Lonchura striata: one gene and its partner. Each later gene encodes a partner of the first gene's protein in a complex. Links are inferred from orthologs where the notes say so. Each region holds a gene or a part of one and is shown on either strand. Other genes may lie near its edges.

The links. The genes of interacting proteins can lie anywhere in the genome.
Region 2: the proteins of PTH1R (region 1) and PTH are in contact, whole or in part, in a cryo-EM structure (PDB 9JR3), measured with the Homo sapiens proteins. The link is inferred for Lonchura striata from reciprocal best matches to the Homo sapiens genes PTH1R and PTH. Residues at the interface, in NP_000307.1 of Homo sapiens: Val31, Met32, Thr33, Lys34, Glu35, Gln37, Ile38, Leu41, Glu111, Trp112, Asp113, His114, Ile115, Ile135, Tyr136, Asp137, Phe138, Arg146, Arg162, Thr163, Ala165, Tyr167, Val171, Leu174, Thr175, Glu177, Glu180, Arg181, Phe184, Leu187; in NP_000306.1 of Homo sapiens: Ser32, Val33, Ser34, Glu35, Ile36, Gln37, Leu38, Met39, His40, Asn41, Leu42, Gly43, Lys44, His45, Leu46, Asn47, Glu50, Arg51, Val52, Glu53, Trp54, Leu55, Arg56, Lys58, Leu59, Asp61, Val62, His63, Asn64, Phe65.

What each region holds. Positions count from the first base shown.
Region 1 is NC_134603.1:155,828,951-155,836,466, reverse strand, and holds the start of PTH1R (parathyroid hormone/parathyroid hormone-related peptide receptor), read right to left. Parts: upstream 3,020-7,516; 5' UTR 2,650-3,019; coding exon 2,575-2,649; intron 1-2,574.
Region 2 is NC_134608.1:58,837,857-58,844,466, forward strand, and holds PTH (parathyroid hormone), read right to left. Parts: upstream 1,601-6,610; 5' UTR 1,592-1,600; coding exon 1,506-1,591; exon of another isoform or gene 769-1,505; coding exon 507-768; downstream 1-506. UniProt on the Homo sapiens protein: Parathyroid hormone elevates calcium level by dissolving the salts in bone and preventing their renal excretion. Acts by binding to its receptor, PTH1R, activating G protein-coupled receptor signaling.

The sequences.
Region 1 (7,516 bases):
ATAACGACAACATTTATAATAAATATTACTAACACATTTCGTAATAAATAATAATAATAATAACAAACGTTAGGATAAATCCATAAAATCTCTCCCTGCTGACCACCCTCGATCCCATTCCTTCTTTCCAGAGTCCCTTTAAAAATCCAATTAGCTGGAAAAAGAAGCAACAACTCTGGGAAAATCCAGGCTGGAGGCGATTCTTGGATGGGGGTGACAGGGGGTGACATTATCCTGCCTAAGGGGGACACTCGGGATCTCAGCGGCTCCCGGACTGTCAGGATGGATTTGGAACCATCTGGGAATTCCTTTTGCTGTCAAGATCGGTTGGAAAAGCAAGGGAAGTGTCTAAACCGGGAATTTAAACCTGGCCTAGCTAAACTGAGCAGGAATTGGAGCAGCAGGACCTGAAACCAGTAAAAATCCGAGTTGGGAAGGATCCATGGGATCGGCAAATCCAGGTCCAGGAGGGGTTTTAGGGAAACTCCTGTGCTTTCCCAGCAAATCCCATGGATTTCGCAGCCCTCTGGGATTCTGGCAGAGCTCATTCCCAATTTTTGCCAGGTCCAGCTCACCCTGAGCCGGCGCTGGGGACGTGGGGGCACCTCCCAGCTCATCCCTTGGGATGGGGGATCCCAAAGAAATCCCACTGTGGATTACAGGCAGCAGATACTGGGAGAGAGGAGTGAGCTGGGACTGGGAATAATGGGAATGGGAATGGGAATAATGGGAATGGGAACAGGAACGGGAATGGGAATAATGGGAATGGGAATAATGAGAATAATGAGAATAATGGGAATGGGAAGAATGGGAATAATGGGAATAATGAGAATAATGGGGATAATGGTAATGATGGGAATGGGAATAATGGGAATGGGAATGGGAATAAAGAGAATAATGGGGATAATGGGAATAATGGGAATGGGAGATGCAGCCTTGCCCAGGTTTTTTGCACCCTGAAACTCCCCCAGCTCCAGCCTGGCTGGTTCCCAATCCTGATTTTCCCAGCCCCAAAGCAGCAGGAATTGCAGGAGTTCTGGAGCAGGAGGCAGCAGGTGCTGCAGGACCTGGACACAGCCCCAAGGTCAGGAGATGCTGATCCAGCCCTGGAATTTGGGAAAAGCCTCATCCATCCCTGAAATCCCAACAAATCTCCAAGTGGTTCTCCTGATCTCCCCAGTTTTCTTTGGGTTTTGGGAGGTTTCTCCACACACCAAACAGGGATGGGCTCAGGCAGGGATCGTTTTCCAAGGGGCTGTTCCTTCTCATTTAGCGAGGAGAAATTTCCCACTGGAAAAGCTGGAAAATCCCCCCACAGCTCTGTGCAAGATTCCAAACTGTCAAATCCAGGGAGAAGGCCCAGGCTGGTGGATCCTAAAGGGACAGGAGGGACCTGACTGGAGCCAGGATGGTCCTGATCCTGATCCTGATCCTGATCCCAATCCCGATCCCGATCCCGATCCCAATCCTATTTCCATCCCTCCTGGAGAGCAGATCCCACTTCCCATGGGTGTCCTGCTCCTTCCTGGAAAACGCTGGGAAATGGGAACAGGAGTGAGAATCCCAGGGATGGGGAGAGCCAGCAGAGCTCCTGTCACAGGGAATTCCAGCACTGGCTCCACATCCAGCAGCTGATTCCCAAGGAAATGTCCCTTCCCTGCTTCCTGGAGGTTTCGGAGCTGCAGGTCTCACACCATTGCCCAGTTTGGATGGATTTATCCCGGTTTTCCAGCCTTGGGAAGCCTGGTGTGTGCAGGAAGGGGTGGAAAGTGCCAAGGTGCAAGGGGTTCCTACAACTTCCCTGTTTTTCCCAAATTGAATTCCAAAGGAGAGGCTCAGTTTCATTGGGATTAAGGAGATTTGCAGGGAAAGGAGAATTGGGAACGAAATTGTCTTGGAGGGGGTGGAGAGGAAGGGATGGGAAAGGGAGGAAGAAGAAGGAGAAGGGGAAGGGAAAAGAAAAGGAAGAAGGAAAAGAGGAAGGTAAGAAAAAGGAAAAGGTGGAGGAAAGGGGAAAAGGGAAGGGAAGGGAAGGGAAGGGAAGGGAAGGGAAGGGAAGGGAAGGGAAGGGAAGGGAAGGGAAGGGAAGAGAAAAAGTGAAGGGAAAAGGAATAAATAGAAAGGAAAAAAATGAAAGAAAAAGGAATGAGAAAAAAAAGGAAGAAAAAGAGAAAAAATGAAAGATAAATGAAAAAAATAAAAGCAGAATAAGAAATCAAAAAAGGGGAAAAATATGAAAAAGGAAGCAAAGTTGTCGTTTCTCCATAGGCAGATCCCGAAATTGTGCCCCAAACGCTGTCCCGGATCCCTGTCAAGCCTCCCTCGTCCTGCCCTGAGCTTTCCAAGCGATCCCAACTCTGGGAAGCACAGACATTTTCACTGCAGCGCTCACAGCCCCGCCAGCGGCTCCCAACACCCCCAAACCAGCTTTTTAATCCTTCATCCCTTCATTTCTCCCTCCTGGCGGCAGGATCCGCACGGATCCTGCGGGAAAAACCACGGGGGGAGGAAAAAAAAAAACAAAAAAAAGGAAAAAAAGGCAAAAAAAAAAAAAAAAGAAAAAGCGGGACTCACCAGCGCGTAGACGGAGCTGAGCACGGAGCAGCAGAGGATCAAACCCAGGCTGGGATACAGCAGAGATGATCCCATATCCAAGGGGCTGTTCCAGCATCCAGCCTCGCGCAGGGAAGCGCCAGGAGGCGAGCTCGGAATTCCAGCGGCGCGGCTTTTTCCTCGTCCTCCCCGGCGTGCGCCCGGATCCGCGGGATTTTGGCTCCTTCGGCTCCCCAGCTTTCAGCCAGAGAGGCACACGACGAGAGATCCCGGGGCTTTTCCTCGTTTTCTCATGGCTGGAGTGGCGGGCAGCTCCCAAAATTCCGCCGCGGAGCCCATGGGGAGAGGCAGCCGCGGCTCCCGGTGCCGCTGGATCATCTGGGAGAGAGCTGGGAAATCACATCCATATGGGCCCGGCTGCGCCTCGGGATCCCGAGTTTCTGCGGCTCCGGGAAGTTCAAATCATTTCTTTGTCAAACGCAAACACGGAGAGGGAGGGAAGGAGGGAAGGAGGGAGGGAGCAGGGAGAGGGCTGGAAGGGGTGGGAGATGCCAGAGGGAGGGGGAACCTTCAACCACCGCTTTATTTTTAGCCGCAGTAATTTTATCTTTTCGCTCGCCGAGGGGACAAAAAAACCCCAAACTTCCCCCCCCCCCCCCCCCCCCGCCCTCCGTCCCTTTTATTTTTGGGGTTTTTATTTTTTTTTCTTTTTTTTTGTTGCCTCTCCTCCTCTCTGCCGCACGCAAACAAATCCCAAATTTCCAAAACGCCTCAAAAGTTGGGAATGTTTTCCCTCCGCTGTCGCCTTTGGGGCAGCGGCGGCGCTGGGGAGGTTTTGCTCGGCTGTCCCAAAAAGTTGGTTCTGCCAGGCAGGGAATTCTCTATTTTTAGGGGAAAATCGGAGATTTTTGGCTTCTCTCTTCCTCTCTGCCTCCAAGGAGCTGCAGTTTGGAAAAGACGATTGCAAACGTGGGGCTGAAAATTCCCATTCCCTCTTTCCACCCCTTTCCCGTCCTTTATTTTAGGATTTTTTTTTTTAAATTTACCCCCCTCCCCGGAGCAAAAGCGCTTTGCCCTCACTCCGAAATTCACTGAAATCCTCGGCATTTGGGGCTATTTTGATTTTGGGATTTATTTATTTTTTTTTTCACCCACATGGGCGCAGAGTTTTCCGGGAGATCCCAGGATCCCTGAAAACCGGGAAAAGGGTTGGGATATCACTCCCGGCTCAGCCGGGAGCTTTCATTCATAAAACTCCGCTGCGAAAAAAAAAAAAAATATTAAAAAAATCCAACCCACCCTCTCTTCCCCCAGAGCGAGCTGTGTGTGTGTGTGGGGGATTATTTGGGAATTGCGGCGGGATCCAGCATTCCCTGCTGGTTTTTCCATGCTGGGAAGAGAAGCGAGGCTGGGAAAGGGTTACAAGCCCTGCCAGGGATGCACCACGCGGGCAAACACGGAGAGGCGCCGGGCTCGGGGCTGACTCACTCAACTTTAAAAATCAATCTCGGAGCGATTTTTTTGGGTCGTTTTCCCCCTTTCTTCCCCTTTATTTCCCGCTTTTCTCGCGGATATTTAGGAGCTGAGGAGCGAAAAATTCCAGTCTCTCCTCTCTCGGGGAGCAGACGGTAAAAACATCAAATTTTCGCTGCGAGCATTTCTGGGTTATTTTTTAGGAGCGCCGAAAAAAAAAAAAAAAAAAAAAAAAGAGCGAGAGGGAGAGCGAAAAAAAAAAAAAAAAGAAATAAACCCCAAACTCTCCGCTTGCTCGGTGCTCGGGTTGGGTTTTTTTTAAATCCTTATTTTTTTTTTTTTTCCCAGCTCCATGGCCGTGAATGGGAGCCTTGAGCTGGGTTTATGAAAGGCTCTTTCCAAGCGAAGGTAGAGTTGGGCTTCCTGTGAGAGGCAGAGAGGGGAAGGGATGAAAAAGGGCCGCTCTTGGTGCGATCTCTGCCTCCTCCTCTTCCTCCGCCTCCTCCTCCGCCTTCCCCTCGCCCTGGAATCCCGAAGGATCTCCCGGGCGGGGGGGATCACGCAGGGGTGAACCCCCCGATCCCGGTGGGGATTGCAGCGGATCCGGGGCAAATGGATTGGGAGTGAAGGGGGGGTCTGAATTCATCCCATTGCGTCCCATCCCATGGGTCCCGTCCCACTGCATCCCACTGCATCCCATCCCATGGATTCCATCCCATGGATCCCGTCCCACTGCATCCCACTGCATCCCATCCCGTGGATCCCATCCCATGGATCCCGTCCCACTGCATCCCACTGCATCCCATCCCATGGATCCCATCCCATGGATCCCGTCCCACTGCATCCCACTGCATCCCATCCCATGGATTCCATCCCATGGATCCCGTCCCACTGCATCCCACTGCATCCCATCCTGTGGATCCCATCCCATGGATCCCGTCCCACTGCATCCCACTGCATCCCATCCTGTGGATCCCATCCCATGGATCCCGTCCCACTGCATCCCACTGCATCCCATCCCATGGATCCCATCCCATGGATCCCATCCCACTGCATCCCACTGCATCCCATCCCATGGATCCCGTCCCACTGTATCCCATTGCATTCCATCCCATGGATGCTGTCCCATGGATCTCATTGCATTCCATCCCATGGATCTCATTGCATGCCACCCCATGGATCCCGTCCCACGGATGCCATCCCATGGATCTCATTAAATCCCATCCTATGGATCACATCCCATGGATCCCATCCCGTCCCATCCCATAGATCTCATTGCAAACCACCCCATGGATCTCGTCCCACTGTATCCCATTGCATTCCATCCCATGGGTCCCATCCCATGGATCCCATTGCATCCCACCCCATGGATCCCACCCCATGGATCCCATCCCATGGATGCCATCCCATGGATCCCATTGCATCCCATTGCATCCCATTGCATCCCATTGCATCCCACCCCATCTCCATCCCCATCCCATCACATCCCATCCCATCCCATCGCATCCCATCCCATCCCATCCCATCCCACCCCATCTCCATCCCCATCCCATCACATCCCATCCCATCCCATTGCATCCCATCCCATCCCATCCCATCCCATCCCATCCCATCCCATCCCATCCCATCCCATCCCATCCCATCCCATCCCATCCCATCCCATCCCATCCCATCCCATCCCATCCCAGGGGAGCGGGATTGGCCTGGAGGGTGCTGAGGGATTTCCGAGCAGTTCTCCCCCACACTCCTCCCACCCCATTCCCATTCCAGCTGGATCCCAAATCTGCTTTTCCAGCAGCGATTCCAAAGTTATTCATTAGGGAGAGCGGGGAAGGCTGAGGGGAATTTGGGAATTTTGGGGCAGCTATTCCCACCGCTGCTGGGGATTTTGTGGGATCTGGCTGCTTTTCCCACTGAGGGAGGCCTGGGACTGGGGAAATCCTTCCCAGGGATTCCCAGGATCTGTGTGGGTTTAGGGACACAGGGATCCACAGGCCTTGGGAAAAGGGGGAAAAACTCCCCTGCAGCATTCCAGGGGCTCCGTGGTGGATGTTTCCCTGGAGAGAGGGGGAAGAAGGGAAAATCGAATTTCTAAAGTTCTCATTAAAAATGAGGATTTTATTGGGGCCTTGTCCAGAGATTCCAGTGCCAGGAGGGGATGGGAATAAACTGGGATCCGAGATGGTTTGGGAATGGCTGCATCCAGGTTTTTGGTGTCCCCTCTGTGTCCAGGGATTGATCCGGGGATGCCTCTGATCCTGTTTGGTTTTCTACATATTTTGTAATTTAGAGAGATTTCGTTATTTAGAGATATTTCATTATTTATTTATTTATTTATTTATTTATTTATAATGAATTAATTTAGTTATTTCAAATGTGTTTATTTAGAAGTTATTTCAAATTTAATCATTATTCATTTAATTTATAAATTTATTTTAGTGCTATTTATTTTATTCATTTATTTAATTTATTTCTTTAAACGTCCTCTATTATTTCCATATCTACATTTTTTTTTATTCCTCCCCCAAACTGAAGGGATCAAAGGGAGATAACGCTGAACTGCTGGAGCTGCACAAGAAACAATTCCCAGTTTAACCCTTGCACAAGACTGGGAATTTTCCCAGTTTAACCCTGGCATAAAACTGGGAATTTTCCCAGCTTAACCCTGGTATAAAACTGGGAATTTTCCCTATTTAACCCTTGCACAAGAAAGGAATTTTTTTATGCCAGGGAATTTAACCCTGGCATAAAACTGGGAAATTTTCCCAGTTTAACCCTTGCACAAGACTGGGAATTTTACCAGTTTAACCCTGGCATGAAACTTGGAATTTCCCCAGTTTAACCCTGGTATAAAACTGGCAATTTTCCTAGTTTAACCCTGGTATAAAACTGGCAATTTTCCCGGTTTAACCCCGGCATTAAACTGGGAATTTTCCCAGTTTAACCCTGGCATAATACTGGGAATTTTTCCAGTTTAACCCTGGCATAAAACTGGATTTTTTTTTCAGTTTAACCCTTGCACAAGACTGGGAATTTTCCCACTTTAACCCTGGCATGAAACTGGAATTTTTTTCAGTTTAACCCTTGCACAAGACTGGGAATTTTCCCACTTTAACCCTGGCAACAAAGGGAATTTTTCCCAGTTTAACCCTGGCACAAGAAGCTCTTCTGGGATATCTGCCCCTGACTCCAAGACTGAGAAATTTTGGATCCCTTTTATCCACAAAAATCCAAACTAACTCCTCAGGTTCCTTAGATCCAAAGTCCTCCCTGGCCAGATCCAACAGCCAGGGAATTAATAATTCCCCCATTTCCTCCTGGAAAAATGGGAATTACAGGGCCTGGAGTGATTCTTTGGTGGCATGAGCTTCAAATCCAGTCCAGCCAGGTGGATTTTTTCCAGGAAATCCTTTTCCCAAACACTCAGAGAGAGGGAAGGCTGGACAATTCCCACCCTTCTTCTTGGATCCGTGGGAATTAGGGTTTGATT
Region 2 (6,610 bases), on another chromosome or scaffold:
GCTTTTGCTGTGTACTTAATGTTAATCTGATTTTAGGCCTTCTTCTGAAAATAGATGTGGGTTTAATTCATGTATTTCCATTAGTACAAAGTTAAACAAAGTTTAACCCTAAGCCATTTTCTGGAGACAGTCTCCCCTGCATTTATTCCTTCCTGGTTAACAGTACAAGCAGGCTTGGTGATTACACACAAATACTGCCCATGTAAGAGTTGTAGAACTGGCCTTAAATGGTTTTCCAGCTTTCTTACTGATCTGGGTTTATTTTTCCTTTCATGCTGGCAATTTATAAGATACATCAGCCAAAATGCCCCCAGCAGTGGTCCTGGGTAGACTGTAAATACATTCTATAATTTGCTTGTAAAATACCTCACTCAGAGGGACTACAGCCTTGAACAAAGCCTTTAATCCTTACTGCAGCTGGAATAAATATGAATGAAATGCCCTACTTGATCAACGCTACACGGACAGTGCTCACGTGGACAGACACAGCGCTCTGGCTGCTCTCCCTAGGGCTTTGTTTTAAAGAGGACATCCATGTAAGCCTTGTCCAGATCCACGGATTTCTTCTGCCCTGCTGCCCGCAGGCGCTCCGGGAGCAGCCTCCGGCCCAGCACGACGTCGTCCTTGCTCCGAGGCCTCTGGGTGCGAGCGTCCTCCAGGGCGCTGTGCACGTCCTGCAGCTTCATCTGCAGCCAGTCCTGCCTCTCCACCGCGTGCCGGTGCTCGCCCAGGTTGTGCATCAACTGCATCTCGCTCACCGACCTTCTCCTGCAGCAAAGCAAAGCAAAGACAGGCCCGTGGGAGCCCTTCTTGGGTTCCAGACCTCGCCTCAAAGGCCCAGCTTTGGGAACTTTTGTAAGGAATCACAGTACATAGCTGTAGGAGCTGCCTGGCTGATCTGTAGGGCATAGAATGACATCTGGAGAAGAGAGGGAGGGTGGGTGGTGATTTGTTATTGGTAATGGATGTATCAGTGAGAAGGCATCGCAAGTGGGAAGTAGTTCAGTTTTGTGACAATATTGCTTCTATAATTTAGTTCAGCTATTGTAGAGGAGCTTAGGACTTTTACAATGTTAGATATGTGATCAATGAATCCATGGCATTTATTCAGTGGTAGTTTTCTGTGATCACTAAAGCTAAGGAAGCATGATTCCCTGTGGATTTGTGTCTCAGCTGGTAGATGTTAGTGCCTAAGTGTGAGTTTCAGCTGGATTCTCTCAGCACGAAAGATGTTCACTTGTGTAGACCCCCAAGACATGGAGCTTATCCAACTTAAATAATAAGAGAAGACTTACATGATGTATATCCCTCTACTCAGCTGCCTATTTTCAAAAAATATATATACAGAGTGCCTGAGATCTCCACAGCTATTTCCAGAGAACAGAGTTTGGCCAGCTTGGCTGAAGGGTTCAAAAGGAGGGACAGAACTCACACACATATGCAAAGACAAACCACCACATTCTCAGGAGCAGCAAAAGCCATTTAGTGTGAGACAATATACTTACACCATTGGTCTTCCATCAGAGGTTGTAAAAAAGCACATGGCACATAAAATGATTGCAGCCTGGGCCAGGTTTCTTATAGAAGTCATTTTGTCTACAAAGATAGAAATGAATACATGTAAAGTCTGTAATTCAAGTTATTTCTGTTTGTTCCAAACATACTGAAATTAGGAAAAAAGTTGAAAAACTCAGACAAGAGTTTTTGAAAAATCTTTTTTGTGAAACGAGTTAGAGCAAGGAATGCAAATGAAGGATTTACTTCTAATACTCATTTTGTGAGCAACTTATTGTACTTCCTGGGCAACTCCATTAATTTTGGTCAGCTTTAGCTGCCCTGCATTATCATTATCATTATCATTATCATCATCATCATCATCTAGGTACCTATCTCTTGCATAATTGGGTGAAAAGCACCACAGTCTTCCAATATTATTGTTATAGTCATCACCATCATCATTATGAATTTGGAGCCTTCAAGTCCAGTGAAATACTTATGTATAGCTATTCAAATGAAAAATTTTATAGAATAAAACTTTCTCTATTTCTCTATTTCTTCCGTGTATTCTTTAGAATGAAGAGGGTGACACTTTCCCTGAAAATTTTGCATAAAGGCATAACTCTACTGAGTTACCCCAGTCCCTACTGAGTTGCAGAAGAAAAATCAGAATTAAGCCCCTCATTTTATCAGGGATAATCCTGCATTTCCCCTCTGAGTTTTACATCATTGGCAGAACTGCCATTTGGAATATATTTAGAAAATATTTACCACTGATGATGCTACAACAGGCAAAACAGCACAGTTCCAATACCAGTTTCTAGTCTGGATTTTCAGTATCGGCAGGCAAAAAAGGCATCTTTTTGTTACCACTTAAGAAATTTGATACAGTGTAACTGAAACCTAAAGAGGTATAAAACTCCACAATGCCATTTTTTGCAATAGTTTCTGCAGCTTTGCTCTAGGTCAGAAAAGCATTTATAATATGGTCTCTTACATGACCATATCAGTGAGGTCCTGGCAGTCCATCCAACACAAGATTATAAATTCAGGACTTGAATTCACTTTAAGATATTTCCCGTTCACTGTCTCTGACTTTTTAATTTCACAAATTTAGTTTAGATAGCAGAACAGTTTGATCTTACTAATACTCACTTTTTAATAGTCTGAAAAGAAACTAACACAAAAATGGGTAAAGAATTGTCAAGAATCAATGATAAAATATTCTAGTAAGTCTTCCAGAGAACTTGGAAAAAAGAAGAGTATACTTACCAGATAGAATGTTTAAGAGATTTCTGGCTTGGGTATGTCAGCAGATGACTGTCTCTTGATGTCAAGTATATTTAAAGACCACTGAATTGGTTTAGTGGACCCCTTAAATGTAACTTTAAAATAGAGCTTCTAAGTAACTTGGAAGCCCTTTTATTGTCTCAGTTGATGTCACTGTCACACACACCCTCCTGACCCTCATGTACCCACCCTCAGATGCTTTCGTTGATTTGACATTTCACTTACAGGGTAAAGAGGCCTCAACAGAAAGTCAGTCCTGGGAAGCTGTGAGGAAGTTTGACTTTTAAATTCAGAATTTTGCCCAAGATAACGTGAGCTCAGAAGCTGTTGGAAGGATTTGCAAAGAAAACTTTGAGTTGTTAAATGCAGGCAGGTAAAACTTAAATGAGACAGTAAGGTTAGTGATCTACAAGTGAAAGATTGCAACTAAATATTTTTACAAACTACTAAAAAGATAATACTTATAATACTTGTGGGAAATAAGAATAGTCTCTCCAGATCAGATATAAAGTTTATTTACTAGTAAGGAGCAGAGGCCCCAAGAATGATAAAGTTTTTAATGAGAAGTTGGTGCCACTGAAAAGTTGCTGAAATGGTGTTAGACCTTCACTGCTCTGCTTTACCTATATCTGTGAATAGCACTGAGTATACCAAATGTACTAAGCAGAATGAAGGCATTTGAAGCAGCTGAGATAAAAACTATTACTTTATAAATTTGGTGAAAGAAATATAGAATTCTGCCTGCTTTCTAAGACGTGAAATGTGTAAATCAGCAGTATTTTCCCATATACATGAAGAAAGATTATTTTTGCTGCAAGATATTTTTTCCTGTTAGCTGCTTCTTCTGACTTCCAGTGTATTTCTCCCCCAAAACCCAAGCAAGCATCCACAAACAAAAAACATTTTGCACCTGCACATTGTAACCCAGAATTTTTAAGACATTATTGCTTTTACATTAATGCTTTTTGCTTATGTTACAGTTCTGTTGTATCTCATAAAGAGTTGTAGAATTATGTGGGGAAAGGGAGGGGAGAACCAAAAACTCCAAAAAGCTCTAGAGATCTCATGGTTCCCTCAGTCTATAGATTAGTGAGTAAACTGAGAATTAATGAAGCAATTCACTTGAACAAGTTCAGGAAAACAGAGTAAAGACAACTTACAGCATTTTATTGTCAGCTGGCAATATCCTTTCCTTATATGCAGCATACAGGGGCTCATGGGAATATGTTTTATTGGGAGATTTGGATCTCCTGGAAACACCAGGATATTAACCTGAAGGCTAAAACATGACTAAACTATTACAAGAGGATATTCCTAGGTATGATGTGACTAAAAATGTACAGTGGAATGGCATAACAGGCAAGGATTTTAGTCCCCATGCAGTTGATAATGGAAAGCTCCCTTTTTTTAGATTTTACTCTAATGTATTCAAAACCTTTAATGAATCTCTCAAGGTAATTTTTTTACAGAAGCCTGGCATTCATATAGAACCTTTAGCATGTGACAGCAAAGGCTGAAGTAAAGGACAAGTGTTAGAAAATTAAGTGTCATTTTTATTCAATGGTTGTGATGGGTCGTACCTGAAATTTCAAACAAAGATGGCTTAATACCTTGATGCCTTGAAAAAGATACAGCTTATTTCAGGAGAGAGAAGACACAAAAATAAAAATATTCAGTATGTGCCCGTTATTTGTAAACAAATAGAGCCTATGATGGTAATTAAAGAAATTTTATGTGCCAGCTCAAAATGGGCATTGGTTTACATGCAGAAAAAAATAACTTACTTGATTTGGATTATTCTCTCTCATATCCAAAAATTACATTATTTGAAAATACAGCTGCTAATAAATTATCCAATGTCATCCCTGTTTGCCAAACTTGGCATATCAAAAGTGGGAATGACAGATAATGGACCAAATGAATGTACTTTTTTTTACCACATACTGTAATTGTTTGCACTTTTGTTTGGACACAGTGTATCCAGTGTTTAATGAGGAGCTGAAAATAGTATTGAGCTCTTTTAATGTTTCAGTCAGAGGATGATTCATGTTCAGATTCAAATTTTTCCCCGTCTTAAGCATCCTTTTAAAAATTCAGAGCACTACTGAACTGATCCCAGGAAACCAGGGCTAACAGCTGCTGAGCTGCTGTTCAGTAAGAGGCTCAAGACTATTCAAATTTATAGGCATTACCACAAAAAAAGAAACAACAGATAGGAAATCAAAATATTATCTCTTCAATTGAAAGGTATTTAATGATATTTTGTATGTATAGGACTGTGCACATAAATACAAAGGCAAAGTATGGATGAAAAATCTGCAGGTTCTTAGGAATTCTTTGTGCCTACAAACGAGACCTGACCTATAGAAGACAATTTTTGCTCCTCTTGGAGTAAGAAGAGGAAAAACACAGTGGATTCTGAGTTTCCAAAGGGAGCATGAGCACCTTTTTAGCCTGAAATACAAAGATATTTAAAAGATTTTAGTTCACATGTGTAACAATTTCTTCATGTGCAGCAGCAAACTTTCTCAGGCTAGACCTAAGCTTGAGTAGGGTGTTGTCTTCTACCTTCAGATAAACTCACAGAATGCTATATGGGAATGAGACAATATAATAATACATTCTCAAAAGTTTATTACAGGAAAGGCTTATCCAAATGCCTTTGGAGAAGGCATTACAGACACCAGGCAGGGGCATGACATTTCTAAGGATGAGGGAGAGGCCTAAAAAACCAAAGGTGCTGGAGCCACAGTGTGGGAGGGAAGAGCTGACCACAGCCTTTTCCTCTAACAAGAGATTTTCTTGATCAGCCAGCAACCTACCCTTCCCTGACCTTCCCTTATAGATGGTACAGATACCTGAACCAATTGGGCATGAAGAAATCTCTGTTGCTTTGTTTGCAGCTGCTGTGCCACTGACGTTGAATTTGTGCCATTGGATGTAATCAGACTTCAGGGCTGAAAACAAGGGGAAAGCAATGAGACAGATTTTACAGCCAGGTAGGTGAACAACAACGATATTGCAAAAATTCTGAATTATTTTAAAACTTTTTTTTGCATATTCTATTCATTTTGTCATAGGAAAATATTATACCACATCTTGAAATTAAACCCATCCTGAGGTACATCACTGCAATATGGTTAAAGGACACAAAACTTTCTAGAATTGTACTGTTTAGTGACTAAAGCACATTTTCAAAAATTAATTATGTAATCTGGTGTATTAATATTCCTACATAATTCTCCATTCTGTAGATTTAATACTTCAGAGCTGCAGTGAGATTCCTGTAGTGCTATTTCTAATAGCAGGCTTTTCCCATACTGCTTGTTCCAGAGGGTATTTCCAGATAAAATACTTTATAACTGCAACTATGGCTTAAAGAATATTAGTAGGTCATCGAGCAGGGAAGAAAAGTAATTGATGACACACTGGATGATTGGTGAGGCAACTTTCTAAATGTGTCCAAGGAATGTTTGAGTCTTGACACAATGAAAAGCCAAACTGGCAGTCAGTAAACTCCTTAGGACTTTATTTGATTGACAAGATTTGTGGCTTTTCAAATACCACAGCAGCACGTCTGGTAATTTATGTAAGCAATGTTGGGCATCTTCAGGTGGGTTTTGGGTTCATGCAGCCAGATGAAGCTTCAAGCCCATGACAGTTTCCAACTGGATAAAAAATAGCACAAGGATTTCTCAAAACATCACCTATCACAGTTCTAGTTTGTGTCCAGTCTTCATGCAATTTGGTTTTAGCAGCTACTGGCAACTCTGCATTTGGATATAATTGCTTACCAGTATATCTTTTCTCCAGTTACATAAAA